4 linked regions of the Saccharomyces cerevisiae S288C genome follow. The gene in region 2 interacts genetically with the main gene of each other region. Each region holds a gene or a part of one and is shown on either strand. Other genes may lie near its edges. The genes, in order: PMA1, SPO7, PAH1 and BRR6.

What was found.
Region 1: mutations in SPO7 (region 2) and PMA1 together harm fitness more than expected from each alone (negative genetic interaction), as found in Saccharomyces cerevisiae (2 studies listed by BioGRID).
Region 3: of SPO7 (region 2) and PAH1, a mutation in one rescues a mutant of the other (synthetic rescue), as found in Saccharomyces cerevisiae (3 studies listed by BioGRID, with this or other methods).
Region 4: mutations in SPO7 (region 2) and BRR6 are lethal when combined (synthetic lethality), as found in Saccharomyces cerevisiae (2 studies listed by BioGRID, with this or other methods).

What each region holds. Positions count from the first base shown.
Region 1 is NC_001139.9:479,410-484,626, reverse strand, and holds PMA1 (H(+)-exporting P2-type ATPase PMA1), read left to right. Parts: upstream 1-1,960; coding exon 1,961-4,717; downstream 4,718-5,217. Other genes in the region: BRP1 (Brp1p), read right to left, coding at 990-1,367; YGL007C-A (uncharacterized protein), read left to right, coding at 1,600-1,686. UniProt on the Saccharomyces cerevisiae protein: The plasma membrane ATPase of plants and fungi is a hydrogen ion pump. The proton gradient it generates drives the active transport of nutrients by H(+)-symport. The resulting external acidification and/or internal alkinization may mediate growth responses.
Region 2 is NC_001133.9:133,980-137,197, reverse strand, and holds SPO7 (Nem1-Spo7 phosphatase regulatory subunit SPO7), read right to left. Parts: upstream 1,345-3,218; coding exon 565-1,344; downstream 1-564. Other genes in the region: FUN14 (Fun14p), read right to left, coding at 1-284; MDM10 (Mdm10p), read left to right, coding at 1,533-3,014; SWC3 (Swc3p), read right to left, coding at 3,122-3,218. UniProt on the Saccharomyces cerevisiae protein: Regulatory component of the NEM1-SPO7 complex which acts as a phosphatase and dephosphorylates the phosphatidic acid phosphohydrolase PAH1. Essential for the formation of a spherical nucleus and meiotic division.
Region 3 is NC_001145.3:589,479-594,485, forward strand, and holds PAH1 (phosphatidate phosphatase PAH1), read right to left. Parts: upstream 3,151-5,007; coding exon 562-3,150; downstream 1-561. Other genes in the region: MSS11 (Mss11p), read right to left, coding at 1-72; MME1 (Mme1p), read right to left, coding at 3,889-4,995. UniProt on the Saccharomyces cerevisiae protein: Mg(2+)-dependent phosphatidate (PA) phosphatase which catalyzes the dephosphorylation of PA to yield diacylglycerol. Required for de novo lipid synthesis and formation of lipid droplets.
Region 4 is NC_001139.9:34,962-38,042, forward strand, and holds BRR6 (Brr6p), read left to right. Parts: upstream 1-1,971; coding exon 1,972-2,565; downstream 2,566-3,081. Other genes in the region: ZIP2 (Zip2p), read left to right, coding at 1-251; 3',5'-cyclic-nucleotide phosphodiesterase PDE1, read left to right, coding at 692-1,801; RAI1 (decapping nuclease), read right to left, coding at 2,656-3,081. UniProt on the Saccharomyces cerevisiae protein: Required for mRNA nuclear export. Involved in the nuclear pore complex (NPC) distribution and nuclear envelope morphology.

The sequences.
Region 1 (5,217 bases), on a different chromosome or scaffold from region 2:
AGAAAAAGACATTTCTCGAGAGAAAAAAAGTAAAGACCTTATCGTACAACTGTTACTGACATTTTTATTTTAAGAAGCTAAACCCTTATTATTAGCGCGCCCAAGTAGGCGCAAAACTAGAGAAGTCGCAGATGCATCCACCCACTTTTTGCCTTATTTTTCCTTAATTTCAGAAATATAGTTAAAATGAAAAACAAGGACAAGAAAAGAACGGGAAAAAGAAAAGGGGGATTAGCAAACAAAGAAAAGTCCAATAAAATGATTACAGACAGCATTGGATGCGATGAGATGGCAACCAGCGAGATGAGAGCATAGGATTTTCATCCTAGCTGCTTTAGGGAAGACGCACAAAACTTTGTTATGTTTGTAGTAAATATAGAAAAGAAAACAAAAAAGTGCTCGGACGAATCCGGTAGAGCTGTGTCTAGCCTCAATAAGTTTGCCGCATTTGGTAAATCAAAACTGTTTTTCTCTCCGTCATTTGTTTTGAAGCTTGTTCTGTTAGTTTAGGGAAATAGAAAAAAAAAAAAAGGGAAAAAGAAAGAAATCATATGCCCAATGGAGTACGAGAATTGGGGAAAAAGCCTCCATCGGGTTTTTAAACGGGCGTATACATGCTTACCACACTCCCGTAAGCAAGAACAAAGAATTTATCTTGATAAACTGCGTAATAAGTCAATCAATTGCTCTATATACGCGCATATACGTAAAACACAGAATCACATTTTAGTCAGGCCCAAGCCGTATAGGGCGAAAAAGCCCGCGCTTATCAAGTCATCGTAACGAATCAGATCTTTCCAACTGCTATCGCATACGTAAGAGAATTGAAATATTTCTCGGGTACGATACGACATTTTTTCTTTACATTTCTTTACTAAACCCGACGGCACGGGAAAGAAGATGAGACTCGGAACGGAAGCTAGAAGAAAAAGGAAGGACACAGAGATTTTCCGAGATTAACTCAGCTTTGCTAAAGTGCAAAAAGTCGTTTACGTCACCATCGCTGACGGGGAAAAAACAAAACAAGCTTCCTGAAACGGAGAAACATAAACAGGCATTGCTGGGATCACCCATACATCACTCTGTTTTGCCTGACCTTTTCCGGTAATTTGAAAACAAACCCGGTCTCGAAGCGGAGATCCGGCGATAATTACCGCAGAAATAAACCCATACACGAGACGTAGAACCAGCCGCACATGGCCGGAGAAACTCCTGCGAGAATTTCGTAAACTCGCGCGCATTGCATCTGTATTTCCTAATGCGGCACTTCCAGGCCTCGAGACCTCTGACATGCTTTTGACAGGAATAGACATTTTCAGAATGTTATCCATATGCCTTTCGGGTTTTTTTCCTTCCTTTTCCATCATGAAAAATCTCTCGAGACCGTTTATCCATTGCTTTTTTGTTGTCTTTTTCCCTCGTTCACAGAAAGTCTGAAGAAGCTATAGTAGAACTATGAGCTTTTTTTGTTTCTGTTTTCCTTTTTTTTTTTTTTACCTCTGTGGAAATTGTTACTCTCACACTCTTTAGTTCGTTTGTTTGTTTTGTTTATTCCAATTATGACCGGTGACGAAACGTGGTCGATGGTGGGTACCGCTTATGCTCCCCTCCATTAGTTTCGATTATATAAAAAGGCCAAATATTGTATTATTTTCAAATGTCCTATCATTATCGTCTAACATCTAATTTCTCTTAAATTTTTTCTCTTTCTTTCCTATAACACCAATAGTGAAAATCTTTTTTTCTTCTATATCTACAAAAACTTTTTTTTTCTATCAACCTCGTTGATAAATTTTTTCTTTAACAATCGTTAATAATTAATTAATTGGAAAATAACCATTTTTTCTCTCTTTTATACACACATTCAAAAGAAAGAAAAAAAATATACCCCAGCTAGTTAAAGAAAATCATTGAAAAGAATAAGAAGATAAGAAAGATTTAATTATCAAACAATATCAATATGACTGATACATCATCCTCTTCATCATCCTCTTCAGCATCTTCTGTTTCAGCTCATCAGCCAACTCAAGAAAAGCCTGCTAAGACTTACGATGACGCTGCATCTGAATCTTCTGACGATGACGATATCGATGCTTTAATCGAAGAACTACAATCTAATCACGGTGTCGACGACGAAGACAGTGATAACGATGGTCCAGTTGCCGCCGGTGAAGCTAGACCAGTTCCAGAAGAATATTTACAAACTGACCCATCTTACGGTTTAACTTCCGATGAAGTTTTGAAAAGAAGAAAGAAGTACGGTTTGAATCAAATGGCTGACGAAAAAGAATCTTTAGTCGTTAAGTTCGTTATGTTTTTCGTCGGTCCAATTCAATTCGTTATGGAAGCCGCTGCTATTTTGGCTGCCGGTTTGTCCGATTGGGTCGATTTCGGTGTTATCTGTGGTTTGTTAATGTTAAACGCTGGTGTTGGTTTCGTTCAAGAATTCCAAGCTGGTTCTATTGTCGATGAATTGAAAAAGACTTTGGCTAACACTGCTGTTGTTATCAGAGACGGTCAATTGGTTGAAATTCCAGCCAACGAAGTCGTCCCAGGTGATATTTTGCAATTGGAAGATGGTACTGTTATCCCAACTGATGGTCGTATTGTCACTGAAGACTGTTTCTTGCAAATCGATCAATCTGCTATTACTGGTGAATCTTTGGCTGTCGACAAACATTACGGTGACCAAACTTTCTCTTCTTCCACTGTTAAGAGAGGTGAAGGTTTCATGGTTGTTACCGCTACCGGTGACAACACTTTCGTTGGTAGAGCTGCTGCTTTGGTTAACAAAGCCGCTGGTGGTCAAGGTCATTTCACTGAAGTTTTGAACGGTATTGGTATTATCTTATTGGTTTTGGTCATTGCCACTTTGTTGTTGGTCTGGACTGCTTGTTTCTACAGAACCAACGGTATTGTTAGAATCTTGAGATACACTCTAGGTATTACTATTATTGGTGTCCCAGTCGGTTTGCCAGCTGTCGTTACCACCACTATGGCCGTCGGTGCTGCTTACTTGGCTAAGAAACAAGCCATTGTTCAAAAGTTGTCTGCTATTGAATCCTTGGCTGGTGTCGAAATCTTGTGTTCCGACAAAACCGGTACTTTGACCAAGAACAAGTTGTCCTTGCACGAACCATACACTGTTGAAGGTGTTTCTCCAGACGACTTGATGTTGACTGCTTGTTTGGCTGCTTCCAGAAAGAAGAAGGGTTTGGATGCTATTGATAAGGCTTTCTTGAAGTCTTTGAAGCAATATCCAAAGGCTAAGGACGCTTTGACCAAGTACAAGGTTTTGGAATTCCATCCATTTGACCCTGTCTCCAAGAAGGTTACTGCCGTTGTCGAATCTCCAGAAGGTGAAAGAATTGTTTGTGTTAAGGGTGCTCCATTATTCGTCTTGAAGACTGTCGAAGAAGATCACCCAATCCCAGAAGATGTCCATGAAAACTACGAAAACAAGGTTGCTGAATTGGCTTCTAGAGGGTTCCGTGCTTTAGGTGTTGCTAGAAAGAGAGGTGAAGGTCACTGGGAAATCTTGGGTGTTATGCCATGTATGGATCCACCAAGAGACGATACTGCTCAAACTGTTAGCGAAGCTAGACACTTGGGTCTAAGAGTTAAGATGTTAACTGGTGATGCTGTTGGTATTGCTAAGGAAACTTGTAGACAATTGGGTTTGGGTACCAACATTTACAACGCTGAAAGATTAGGTCTAGGTGGCGGTGGTGACATGCCAGGTTCTGAATTAGCTGATTTTGTTGAAAATGCCGATGGTTTCGCTGAAGTTTTCCCACAACATAAATACAGAGTTGTTGAAATCTTGCAAAACAGAGGTTACTTGGTTGCTATGACTGGTGATGGTGTTAACGATGCTCCATCTTTGAAGAAGGCTGATACTGGTATTGCTGTCGAAGGTGCTACTGATGCTGCCAGATCTGCTGCTGATATTGTTTTCTTGGCTCCTGGTCTATCTGCTATTATTGATGCTTTGAAGACCTCCAGACAAATTTTTCACAGAATGTACTCTTACGTTGTTTACCGTATTGCTTTGTCTCTACATTTGGAAATCTTCTTGGGTCTATGGATTGCTATTTTGGATAACTCTTTGGACATTGATTTGATTGTTTTCATCGCTATTTTCGCTGATGTTGCTACTTTGGCTATTGCTTACGATAATGCTCCTTACTCTCCAAAGCCCGTTAAATGGAACCTACCAAGATTATGGGGTATGTCTATTATTTTGGGCATAGTTTTAGCTATAGGTTCTTGGATTACCTTGACTACTATGTTCTTACCAAAGGGTGGTATTATCCAAAACTTCGGTGCTATGAACGGTATTATGTTCTTGCAAATTTCCTTGACTGAAAACTGGTTGATTTTCATTACCAGAGCTGCTGGTCCATTCTGGTCTTCTATCCCATCCTGGCAATTGGCTGGTGCCGTCTTCGCTGTCGACATCATCGCTACCATGTTTACCTTATTCGGTTGGTGGTCTGAAAACTGGACTGATATTGTTACTGTCGTCCGTGTCTGGATCTGGTCTATCGGTATCTTCTGTGTTTTGGGTGGTTTCTACTACGAAATGTCCACTTCTGAAGCCTTTGACAGATTGATGAACGGTAAGCCAATGAAGGAAAAGAAGTCTACCAGAAGTGTCGAAGACTTCATGGCTGCTATGCAAAGAGTCTCTACTCAACACGAAAAGGAAACCTAATCCTGTTGAAGTAGCATTTAATCATAATTTTTGTCACATTTTAATCAACTTGATTTTTCTGGTTTAATTTTTCTAATTTTAATTTTAATTTTTTTATCAATGGGAACTGATACACTAAAAAGAATTAGGAGCCAACAAGAATAAGCCGCTTATTTCCTACTAGAGTTTGCTTAAAATTTCATCTCGAATTGTCATTCTAATATTTTATCCACACACACACCTTAAAATTTTTAGATTAAATGGCATCAACTCTTAGCTTCACACACACACACACACCGAAGCTGGTTGTTTTATTTGATTTGATATAATTGGTTTCTCTGGATGGTACTTTTTCTTTCTTGGTTATTTCCTATTTTAAAATATGAAACGCACACAAGTCATAATTATTCTAATAGAGCACAATTCACAACACGCACATTTCAACTTTAATATTTTTTTAGAAACACTTTATTTAGTCTAATTCTTAATTTTTAATATATATAATGCACACACACTAATTT
Region 2 (3,218 bases):
TCCTCGGTAATTGCCGTACTGTTGCCCACAGTTGGTTCCAAGGGACCCTGTTGTTTGACAGCTGCCCCTAAAGAATCATTGAATATCAACTTAGAAGGCTGGCGATTCATCAAGTAAAAGCCACCAGCAACTATGCCAGCACCGCCTAACCCTACAGAGCGAGTTAAGGGCTTTCCTAATTTATTGGCGACATTAAACCTCCATAAGGGGACGTTCTTGAACATGCGCTTCCCAACATTCAAATTACGAAACACCAACCGTTGCATATTAAAAGCCAAAGTCATTTTACACCTATTATTTTAAGTTCTTCCTTCTTGCCCCTCTAGCGTTATGCTGTTGTATGTATAATAAGATGCCTTGTTTAACCAATTTCAACAACCCCTAGGTTTTCTAGCACTTGTTGGAAAACTTAAATATGAAATGACGGATTTGTAAAATTTTCACGACACAACAGCTTCACTTCTAATAATGTATAAAATATAATTTATGTGTGAACATAGATGGTTACAATTTTACATAGGTAAATATGACCTCTTATTCGAAGGAAGAAGCCCTCCAACTCTTTCATTCTGATTTAGGTCGGAGTTCGTGCGCTTGTTTGCGTCTTCTAGCACCTTCCCTGGCCCAAAACTCGTCTCTATAAATCTCCCATCCTTCTCTAATCTCTGCACTAAATGCTCTGGGGTTGAGGACTAATTTCACATCCACAGCTCCGATCCTCGGTTGGGATTGTATCGTGACACTTTTCCAAAATTTCACAATGGCATTATCGTCTTTAAGCCACAGAAATTTTTTCAAACAATAAATATTACAATAAGCAATTGTTCGACTCACAAATCTTACTGAATCTGTGTATTTCTCGTCCCACGTAGACTGTACTTTAACTAGCTTCACATTAAACTGCCTAATCCCTTTATTAGTAGAGGTAAAAAATCTTCTTGGAATGACGATAGTTCTTCTATATTGTCCACTGATATGAAAAAGAACTACAGTAATGGAAATGAAAGAAAGAGTGAATTGCAAAATAACCCTATGGAGGCCCTTGACATAATCTGAAGTGAAATAAAGTTCGTAGAAGGTAAATGCGCCTACACCGGCCATAGACGCTAAGAACAAAGTGAATTGCCACTTCAGTATCTTTTGTTCGTGAGCTTGGCGTCTTAAATCATCCTCCAGTATCAACAAATTCCTGAAAATCATCGATGCTGGAGAGATATTACTGGAGTTCCGTATATTCTTCGCACTGGATGTCTTGCTAGTAGAACGCCTGCGAGGCCCGGACACTATACTGGCACTATCATCCTGGGCATGGTTCCCCACATCGCCTATGCTCTCTGGCTCCATGACCTCCTTTATTTAGCTTTCCACTACCTTTCTTCCTTTGTGTGTATAATCAATAGATTTTCGCTAAATTTCGCATCTTCCCTTTTAAGAATAATTAGTATTTAATTTTACTTTGACTTTATTGTTGAGTGAAGAAACAAAGCAAATATACGTTAGGAAAAAGACACGAACAGAGAAGACCGATCTTGATGCTACCCTATATGGACCAAGTACTAAGGGCATTTTATCAGAGCACCCATTGGAGTACGCAAAATAGCTACGAGGATATAACGGCCACATCGAGAACATTATTAGATTTCCGAATTCCCTCAGCAATACACCTGCAAATTTCCAACAAATCTACTCCCAATACATTCAATTCTTTAGATTTTTCTACGAGGTCCAGGATAAATGGTTCTCTGAGTTATTTATACTCCGATGCACAGCAATTGGAGAAATTCATGCGCAACTCTACTGATATCCCATTACAAGATGCCACCGAAACATACAGACAATTGCAACCAAACCTCAATTTCAGTGTTAGTAGTGCGAATACGTTGAGTAGTGACAACACCACAGTCGACAATGACAAGAAATTACTACATGACTCGAAATTTGTTAAAAAATCCCTTTATTATGGTAGAATGTACTACCCCAGCTCTGATTTAGAAGCAATGATAATAAAACGACTAAGTCCACAAACCCAATTTATGCTTAAGGGTGTCAGTAGTTTCAAAGAAAGCTTAAACGTTTTAACGTGCTATTTTCAAAGAGATTCTCACCGCAATTTACAGGAGTGGATATTTTCCACCAGTGATCTATTATGTGGTTATAGAGTATTACACAATTTCCTTACCACGCCTTCCAAGTTTAACACCTCACTGTACAATAATTCTTCGTTGTCGCTTGGTGCTGAATTTTGGTTAGGGTTAGTAAGTTTAAGCCCCGGTTGTTCGACAACTTTAAGATATTACACACATTCTACAAACACAGGACGACCACTAACTTTGACATTATCTTGGAATCCATTATTCGGCCATATATCCTCCACATATTCGGCCAAGACAGGGACAAATTCTACTTTTTGCGCGAAGTATGATTTTAATCTTTATTCGATTGAATCAAATCTTTCATTTGGGTGCGAATTTTGGCAAAAAAAGCATCATTTGCTTGAAACCAATAAAAACAATAATGATAAATTAGAACCAATCTCCGACGAATTGGTTGATATAAATCCAAACAGCAGAGCGACTAAACTACTGCACGAAAATGTACCGGATCTGAATTCAGCTGTTAACGATATTCCTTCTACACTAGATATACCTGTTCACAAACAAAAGCTATTAAATGATTTAACTTATGCATTCTCGTCGTCATTAAGAAAAATCGATGAAGAAAGATCTACCATCGAAAAATTTGATAACAAAATAAATAGTTCCATTTTTACCAGTGTTTGGAAATTAAGCACGTCATTACGTGACAAGACTTTAAAACTATTATGGGAAGGCAAATGGAGGGGATTTTTAATATCTGCCGGGACAGAGCTGGTATTCACTAGAGGCTTTCAAGAAAGTTTATCCGATGATGAAAAGAATGATAATGCAATATCTATATCAGCAACTGATACAGAAAACGGCAATATACCAGTTTTCCCGGCAAAGTTTGGCATACAATTCCAGTACTCCACATGATGAGTAATGTGAAATAAAATAAAGGTTTTAATATACAGGTTAAAAAATAAGTAATACAATGTGTATAATCATAATGGCGTTAAAGCAGAATAAAGTAACCGAACACCTTATCTTTTGTGTCTTCTGCTTCTCATGGCGTGCTCCCACTCATTTAGTTCGAACCGCAAACTTTCGCTCAAAGCTTCATCATCGTATCCATCCAAT
Region 3 (5,007 bases), on a different chromosome or scaffold from region 2:
GATATTGGGAGCTGAGCTAAAATCCGTGTTACTAGAGCGCTCATTTGTATTAATATTGGTCGTGTTATCCATATCTTTATCATGCACCTTTTTCTTATTTCACTGCAGTTTAACGAAAAATTGACAAAAGAACCGGGAGATACCAAAGGGAAAAACCAAAAGAGTCACACAGGATTGCAATAGAAATCTTTCTGGTCTTTTCTACTATGGTGATTTTATTATACCCCTCCTCTTCCTGTTATACACGCATTGTATTTCGGCATTGCCTCTTGGCCGCTTTTTTCACCTGACGTAATACCTGTTGCAGCAAGCGAGTTTCGTGTGCGTATAGAAAAGTATTTACCTTGACATTTCGAAGAAGTATGTAATTACCAAATAGCTCAGAAGAACACTTGGTACGTAACAATCATCGTTTACCTTTTTCTTCTATCAAAAAATTTTCTTCTTTTTTTTTTCCTTCTCTTTTCTTAAATAAAATTGAAAAATTGTTACTTAGTACTTCATAATTTTACTTAATATGCAGTATGGATCGTTATAAATAATATTCGGCTACAAGAATCTTTAATCTTCGAATTCATCTTCGTCGAATTCATCGTCATCGAATTCATCGCTTACTCTTGAATCCAAATCTTTATCGTCCATTGAGTTGTGGGGTAGCTGATTGCGCCCTGTTTCATTAACACTTTGCTCCCTTCGTGATTCGGTATCTGAATTCCCAAGTGAATGTACGTCATTTGAAACGTTGATCTTTGAAACAATTCTTGTTGGAGCGCCGGCCTTTGACACAGAGAGCTTTTTGAACTCTTTATCGATACTAGTCGCGGCTGCAGAAGATGCTCTCCTTGATTTAGTTCTATTGTAATTGGAGTCTTCATCATCCATATCGTCTAAATATCTTAGTTTTGGCGATGCAAGTGGAGAACCTAGCTCCAAATATATTTGTTTTCCAATGTCCCCTTTGGACATTGTAGATTTATTGGGCGTGGATCCTGAGCTACTATGGGAACTCACCAGGTCAGACGCATTTTCTACATCAGACGAAGCGGCTAAAACTTCGTTGTTATTTGTGCTGCCGCTCACATTTCTTTGCGGGGCTTTAGTGACCTTGGCGGTTTTGACTGAATTTGCCCTATTTCTACTAATGTTGCTTTGTTGTGATACGTCAGTATCTTCATCGATGTTATCAGAATCATCATTGCTAATATCCGATAAGTTGTCGATGTCGACTAACGGGTCTCTCCAAAAATTTACGTCTGTGAATTTCTCTTCCTGATTGCCTCTAAATAGCGTTTTGCGACCTGAAGTAATTTCTGAGTCAAAGTTATCCAACGTTCTATTAGGGGGGGAGCCAGGAACCATGGAAGTATTAGTTCTTAGATCGACACTATCAAGGCTGACTGGTGGAAAGAAATGATCGACAAGCTCATTGATATGAATATAGGAGCTTCTGTAACCTGCTAACTCCAATAATTCCATATGAACCTCACCCTCTGTATTTATTGTGAAAATTCTTGAACTAGGTATCCCCACAGTTCTGTAAGATAAAGCATCAGTAATCCTATTACCAAAGCCGGCAAAAAATGGTGTTGATTTTTCCTCTGTATCCACTTCGTTATCACTGTCTTCAAAATACAAGGATCTTATGTCGTTTAGACACGCGATTTTAAAGACTTCAGGTTTTTTTAGTATTACTTCCCGCCTTAACGCAGCCATCGTTCTATCGGGTGATAAAATCACAGGCCCATTTGGTAGTTTGCTGCCATTCTGTTCAATTGATCGCAAATAACTCCTCGTGGAATCAGCTTGTCCAGCACTTCTTGCAGTTAGATAGAGTATATTATAGCCATTCCTGGAGATCTCGCTAAATAACTTGGCTACACCCAAGTGCGTCCAGTCTTTTCCTATCATTGCCAGAACATGGCCTAAAGCGTCCGATTTTGTGATGGTGCCATCAATATCACTGATAACAATTGGAACATCCCACCTCCAAACGAATAATTTTGACGTAACAATAGCTTTTCCGTGATCTACGGAAAATTTCAGATCATTTTCACCATAAGTTAAATTTAGGCACTTTAACTGGTCATTAGTCAATCTTATCGTTCGTATGTATCTTTTCTCGGTCTCACCGCTCCCTGCTGTTCCTTTCTTGCTAGTTTTTTCACTTTTACTGCTTTGTTCTTTGCTAAATGATGTTTCGTCCTCAGTATCGGAACCAGAAGGTGAAGAAGATAACGAATTCAAAGTACTTCCTGATTCCATTGCATCTAAGCCTAAAACTGATCCGCTTGTGGCCATTGTTGGAGGCGTACCTGGAGGAGATAAATCAGTAAGGTGCTCGTAAGGATTTACGATCTTGATGTTGCCATTTTTGTCCTCCTTGATAAAACTGGAAATATCTGAATCATTACCGAATTCGTCCTTTAACAACTGCTTCAGTTGTATGTCTGTGTCATGCATCATATTCTTGTTTGGCTTGTAACCTTCAGTGTCTAGTAGTAAGTCGCCATTGTTATCAAGTTTACTGGGTATATGGATTTCAGTGAGTTTTTTGTTTAGTTTTTGCTGAAAGTTCTTTGTACGCTGCTCAACAAGCTTCCTCTCTTCAACTGAATCTGGTGGTGTCGTTGTAGAGGATTCAGTAGGAGAAAGCGACCCTGTAGTTTCACTATTTTTACTGCCTGAATCTCCAGTGTCATTGATATCTAAAAAATCTGGTTCCTCTAGCACTTTCTTTTCCTTCTTCTTATTTTCATTTTCACCTTCACCTTCACCCTCGGTTCCTCCTTCTAAGATGGATGTTTCAGGTGATTGAGGGGGGCTTGATGTGGCGCTCATCACGGGCGACACAAGCAATTCGTCAGGGACATCAGTGACCTGGTCACCCATCTCGAAAACGAAATAGGCTTCTCCAGAATCACTCAGTTTCATTGGCATATTACTCAGTTTCTCATTTATAAACACTTGGACTTTCTTTTGAGATGGCTTTAGAATTTGAAATTTGCCGAACCTCACATGAAAGGGAGAACATGATAGCCTTCCGTCTGGATGCTCCACTACAATGACATCTATAGCACCTGATAGCGTAGCCGGATTGATAGAAGACCATGTTTTAGACACAGACCCAAGAGCTCTGCCTACGTACTGCATAATCGACCGATGTGTCTATCTTCAGTAATTTCTTCCCTGTATGTTTCTTAGAAGGTAAAACTGTGATTACGAAGGTGTAGTGTCCAATTGGTCTGATTAACACTTCTTGAACACGTTTTACTAAATTGTTGAATGTATTTTCTTTATAAACACAAGCCCCCACGATGGCCTACTCTTCACTTGTCCTTGCTCTTCCTTCTACCCTCACCGTGCGCTGCTTTCAACGCTGGCCGGAAAAGCCGAGAAAAAGAGATAGATAATAGAGAAAAGAGAGCCCATTGTCTAAAGGGAGGGAAACCGAAGGACGAAAAGGGCCCGCGACAGACCGTTTAGAGAATGAGCAGCACGTGGGCACTTCGATTTTGTCTCCCAGTGATGTAGTGTTATGATATACAAGATGAGTTTGGACCCTGTTCAAGCAAATCTGTCACATTTGTTAGACTTTTTTTTAAACGAGCCCTCCAAACAAGAACGCTCAGTGTTAGGAACTGCGAACGAAGAGAGAAATGCGTATTAAACTTAGATGAGTATTCTTGCCGTAAATGACTATATACAAAACTTATTCGGAAGAACCTATATCTATGTATGTGAAATGATAAGTACAAGACCCACTGTGATGTGCAGTGATGGCGAATAGGGTGAGGTCCCTTGTACTGTCTTTATTGTAGCCGCTTGTAGGAAAAGTTTTATCACATAAAATTATCCTCTAGAGAGTTAGATGAGCCAGAAATCAGGCTCTTAGTCCGTTGGAAATGCGTTACTTAATCCGCGTAGGGTCATTTGATACAGAAGCAACATTATACTGCTCTGAACACTTGTCCAGACGAATCTAGGGCCAACGCCACTAAAGAAACCTAACACACCTTCAGATTGGTAGACCGTCCGAAGGCTGAGCGAAATCGAGTTGGAAAGTGCTGCCGGTCTGCCGTTTGTTACATGTGGATGTGTTACTGAGTATGATTTGTTGCTTTGGCTGGGCGGCTGTTGAGTTTGGACTCTAGTCTTAACAACATCCATTGGTGTGGTAATGATTCCCGCCAGTCCACCTGCACAGGCACCAGTCAATATTTCATTAGGTATAGACAACTCACCATCCCTACCATCTTTCTGTTCAATCTTGAAAGCCAATTGCCTAAACTTTTCGTAGAAGGCAAACTGCAATGCACTAAATGGCAAATCTCTGGCTAAAGTGGCTTTGTATCCAAAAAATAGTGAGCGAAACCCTTCTTCTTTTATAACTGTCTTTATGGCATTTCTTAAATTCGAATAATTATAGCCAGATTGAAAGAAAGGATTATTGAACCTTCCTTGCAATTGTAGCCTTGTCTTTAGGACCTCTGATGGAACATAAACAAAACTGGAGATAAAATCGCCAAGAAATCCAGCGCTCAAATGTGTGATGGTATCGTTAATCTGCCAATCTTCTATCATTGTTCTCTTAGTATATTCATAGGTCCCAAAGAAGATTGCCGCTGACGGGAAGGAGCCTAACATGGCAGCCATGTAACCGCCGTATAGCCCCCTTCTCACGCCTTCTTCTAGCCAAATGGTACGATATGCAGAGATCATGTTCCTGTATTTTTTGACATTGGGTGCGCCCTGTTGTCTTGTCTTAACAGTATCCAATGAATGCATCGCAGAATCTCCTATTTTTCCACCAATCCCACCGGAGACGACACAATGCCATATAGGGCTTAAGTCCTCATCTGAATCGCCTCTTTTTTTGTGCAGTTTATCATCTTTTCGGTTATTATTTGGTTGATCTGGAGTTCCTTCTGATGTCGGGGGATGGTCATGAGGCGTATGTATTATCGGTATTGAAGAACTCAGGTTCCATGAGTTCATTATCTTTTATAC
Region 4 (3,081 bases), on a different chromosome or scaffold from region 2:
TTATTGATTGGATGAAATATTTCATTGCAAGATGGGCCTTTTCATATAACGATGAGAAAGAAAAAAATATTGCAAATGCCGATATTCTTCTAGATTTGGGATTTAACATCCTCTTAGTACGGAAAATTTTCCAGACATATAGTCTCGAAGAATTTTTTATGGCAATAATAAAGGAAGAAAGCAAAGCTGTTAAAATGCTTACGGTTTCACAAATGACTCGCCTGAAGAAGTTATTAACCTTAGAATGGTAAATCCAGCAAGGATCGTTACCCGGTAAACTATTTATACTACGCCTGCCTCTTTCGTTCTTCGACTACATGCTACAGTTAGTAAATTCAACCAAGGAAAATGTATTTATTAACATGAACTAGCCACCTAATTAACCCTTACCTTATTTTTTATACCCTTGGATCATCGGAGTATCTGTAGATCATATGTTAACGTATGTATAATATTACATCTGTCACAATAAACAACCCGAAAAAAATACCGCACGGAAAATGAGTTACTGATTAAGATGCACTTTTTGGTGAGGGTGCGTGACTTGAAACTAAAAATTACCAATAGTCAAACCCTTTCCATTTTCGAGGGAAGCAATATCTGAAATTTATATTTTTAGAAATTTCCAAGAGAAAGTGGCTTTTAACGAGGTTCTTCTTCTTCATCCCCTTTTTTACCAATATTCCTTTTTATGGTTGTATTCGAAATAACTATACTTGGGGCCAATGGAGGACCCACCGAATACGGAACACAGTGTTTTATACTTAAGCCTGCTAGAACAGAGGATCCAGAATTAATAGCTGTAGACGGTGGTGCAGGAATGTACCAGCTACGGGAGATGTTGGTCCAAGGGCGAAATGAAAATGAAGGTGATGATGAGCTTGTTCCAAGCTTTTATGAACATGATCGAGAGCCAATAGAGTTTTTTATTGATTCCAAACTGAACATACAAAAGGGATTATCCAAGTCCTTGCTACAATCATTAAAGAGGCAGGGAGAGCATTTTGAAAGCGCCAATACAATGAAGAAAACTTACGAGGTTTTCCAAGGAATTACCGACTACTACATTACCCATCCCCATCTGGACCATATTAGTGGGCTGGTAGTAAACTCCCCCTCAATATATGAGCAGGAAAACAGTAAAAAGAAAACTATTTGGGGATTACCGCATACTATTGACGTTTTGCAAAAGCATGTCTTTAATGACTTAATATGGCCAGATTTAACGGCAGAACGTTCAAGAAAATTGAAGCTAAAATGCTTGAATCCGAAGGAAGTTCAAAAGTGCACTATCTTTCCTTGGGATGTAATACCGTTCAAAGTTCATCATGGGATAGGCGTCAAGACTGGCGCGCCGGTATACAGCACCTTCTATATCTTCAGAGACAGGAAAAGCAAAGACTGTATAATAGTTTGCGGAGATGTTGAGCAGGACCGCAGAGAATCTGAAGAATCTCTACTTGAAGAATTTTGGTCTTACGTTGCTGAAAATATACCGCTTGTGCATCTCAAGGGTATATTAGTCGAATGTTCATGCCCATTATCTTCCAAGCCCGAGCAATTGTATGGTCATCTATCTCCAATATATTTAATCAACGAATTATCCAATTTGAACACTTTATACAACAGTAGTAAGGGATTAAGCGGTTTGAATGTTATCGTTACTCACGTTAAGTCAACACCTGCTAAAAGAGACCCAAGACTAACCATACTCGAAGAGTTACGATTTTTAGCTGAGGAGAGGAACTTAGGAGACTTGAGAATATCTATTGCGCTAGAAGGCCACACTTTGTTTCTATAATGTACACAACGTCAATAACATAATACTACGTAGATGAAAAGCGGAAAAATTCATTACCCGGGAGCAAGCAAAATACTAGTAGTAACTAATGAAACTTCTTTCCATTATTATTGATGAGTTAACTTATGTAGACTCATCTTTGAATCCCCTATCCCAACATAAGTCCCGGAATGGAACTCCGTAGTTTTTCTAGACAGCCTGATGGCATACTTGCTAACCCAAGATTGGGAAGGGAGGAAGTATTGGAAGGTGAACATCCGCAAGATGCTAGATTAGCCCGACAAAGCATTTGGTTGAGCCCAAGTTTAATTGCGGAGTATATACAGCTTTTTTTCAATTTTATTATAGGAACTATAGGACTGTCTCTTGCTATTAAATTCATTTTGATGATAAGAAACGATGTTAACTTAAAACTGGAGCATAACGTGAGGGAAGAATTAGATAAAATTGCAACTTGCAAATCAAGGTATTTTGAAAACCAGTGCGAACCTCATATGAGGGTTCCAGCATTGGAGGTACGTTGCAATGAATGGTCAAAATGTATGAACAAGGAAATAGTGTCTGGCTCCGATTACCAATGGGCTAAAGCATGGGCTCGTACTCTGGCGGAGGTAATAAATGCTTTTTTTGAAGCGTTCAGTATACGATCTTTCCTTTTCATTTTAATTAGCATAATAGGTATAATATTTGTTACCAATACGAGTTTCGGATCATACAGGGTTTATCTCAATAATAAAGATACAAAATCGGTTCGCCATGCATAGTGTATATAACTTAATCTAATCTGCACATTTATATTATTTAGATCCATACGTCGATGAGGATATGCGCAGGAAAGACATAAAGGAATATTGTTATTTCAAAGATTTTCTCCACTCCTTAAACCCGTTCGATAATATATGTTCTCCATCAATCAAACCTGAATATTCCTCATCACTTTCTTCAATTTCGGATAATCTTAGGTGATTATTTTCGAAAACCAACTTAAATGCTCTTATTTGAGAATGAGGATCCTCATCTCTTGGTATCATTTTCAAAAGCCACTCAGTAAGGAGACCATACCATTTAATGGCTTCTAAACATGCACTTCCAACTTGTGGATTATTGTTCTTTAATAAAACAGGTACTTCCTCCGTTGAAAACTCTTCCACAGTTTTTAATACATAATGGTCGTCTTTAAAACCATATATGATCCTTGGGATCCCAACTAAGAAGCATTGCAGCCAGGTCCGGAACAGTTTACGCTCAAACTTATGCGTATCCGATATGTTCGCAACTTG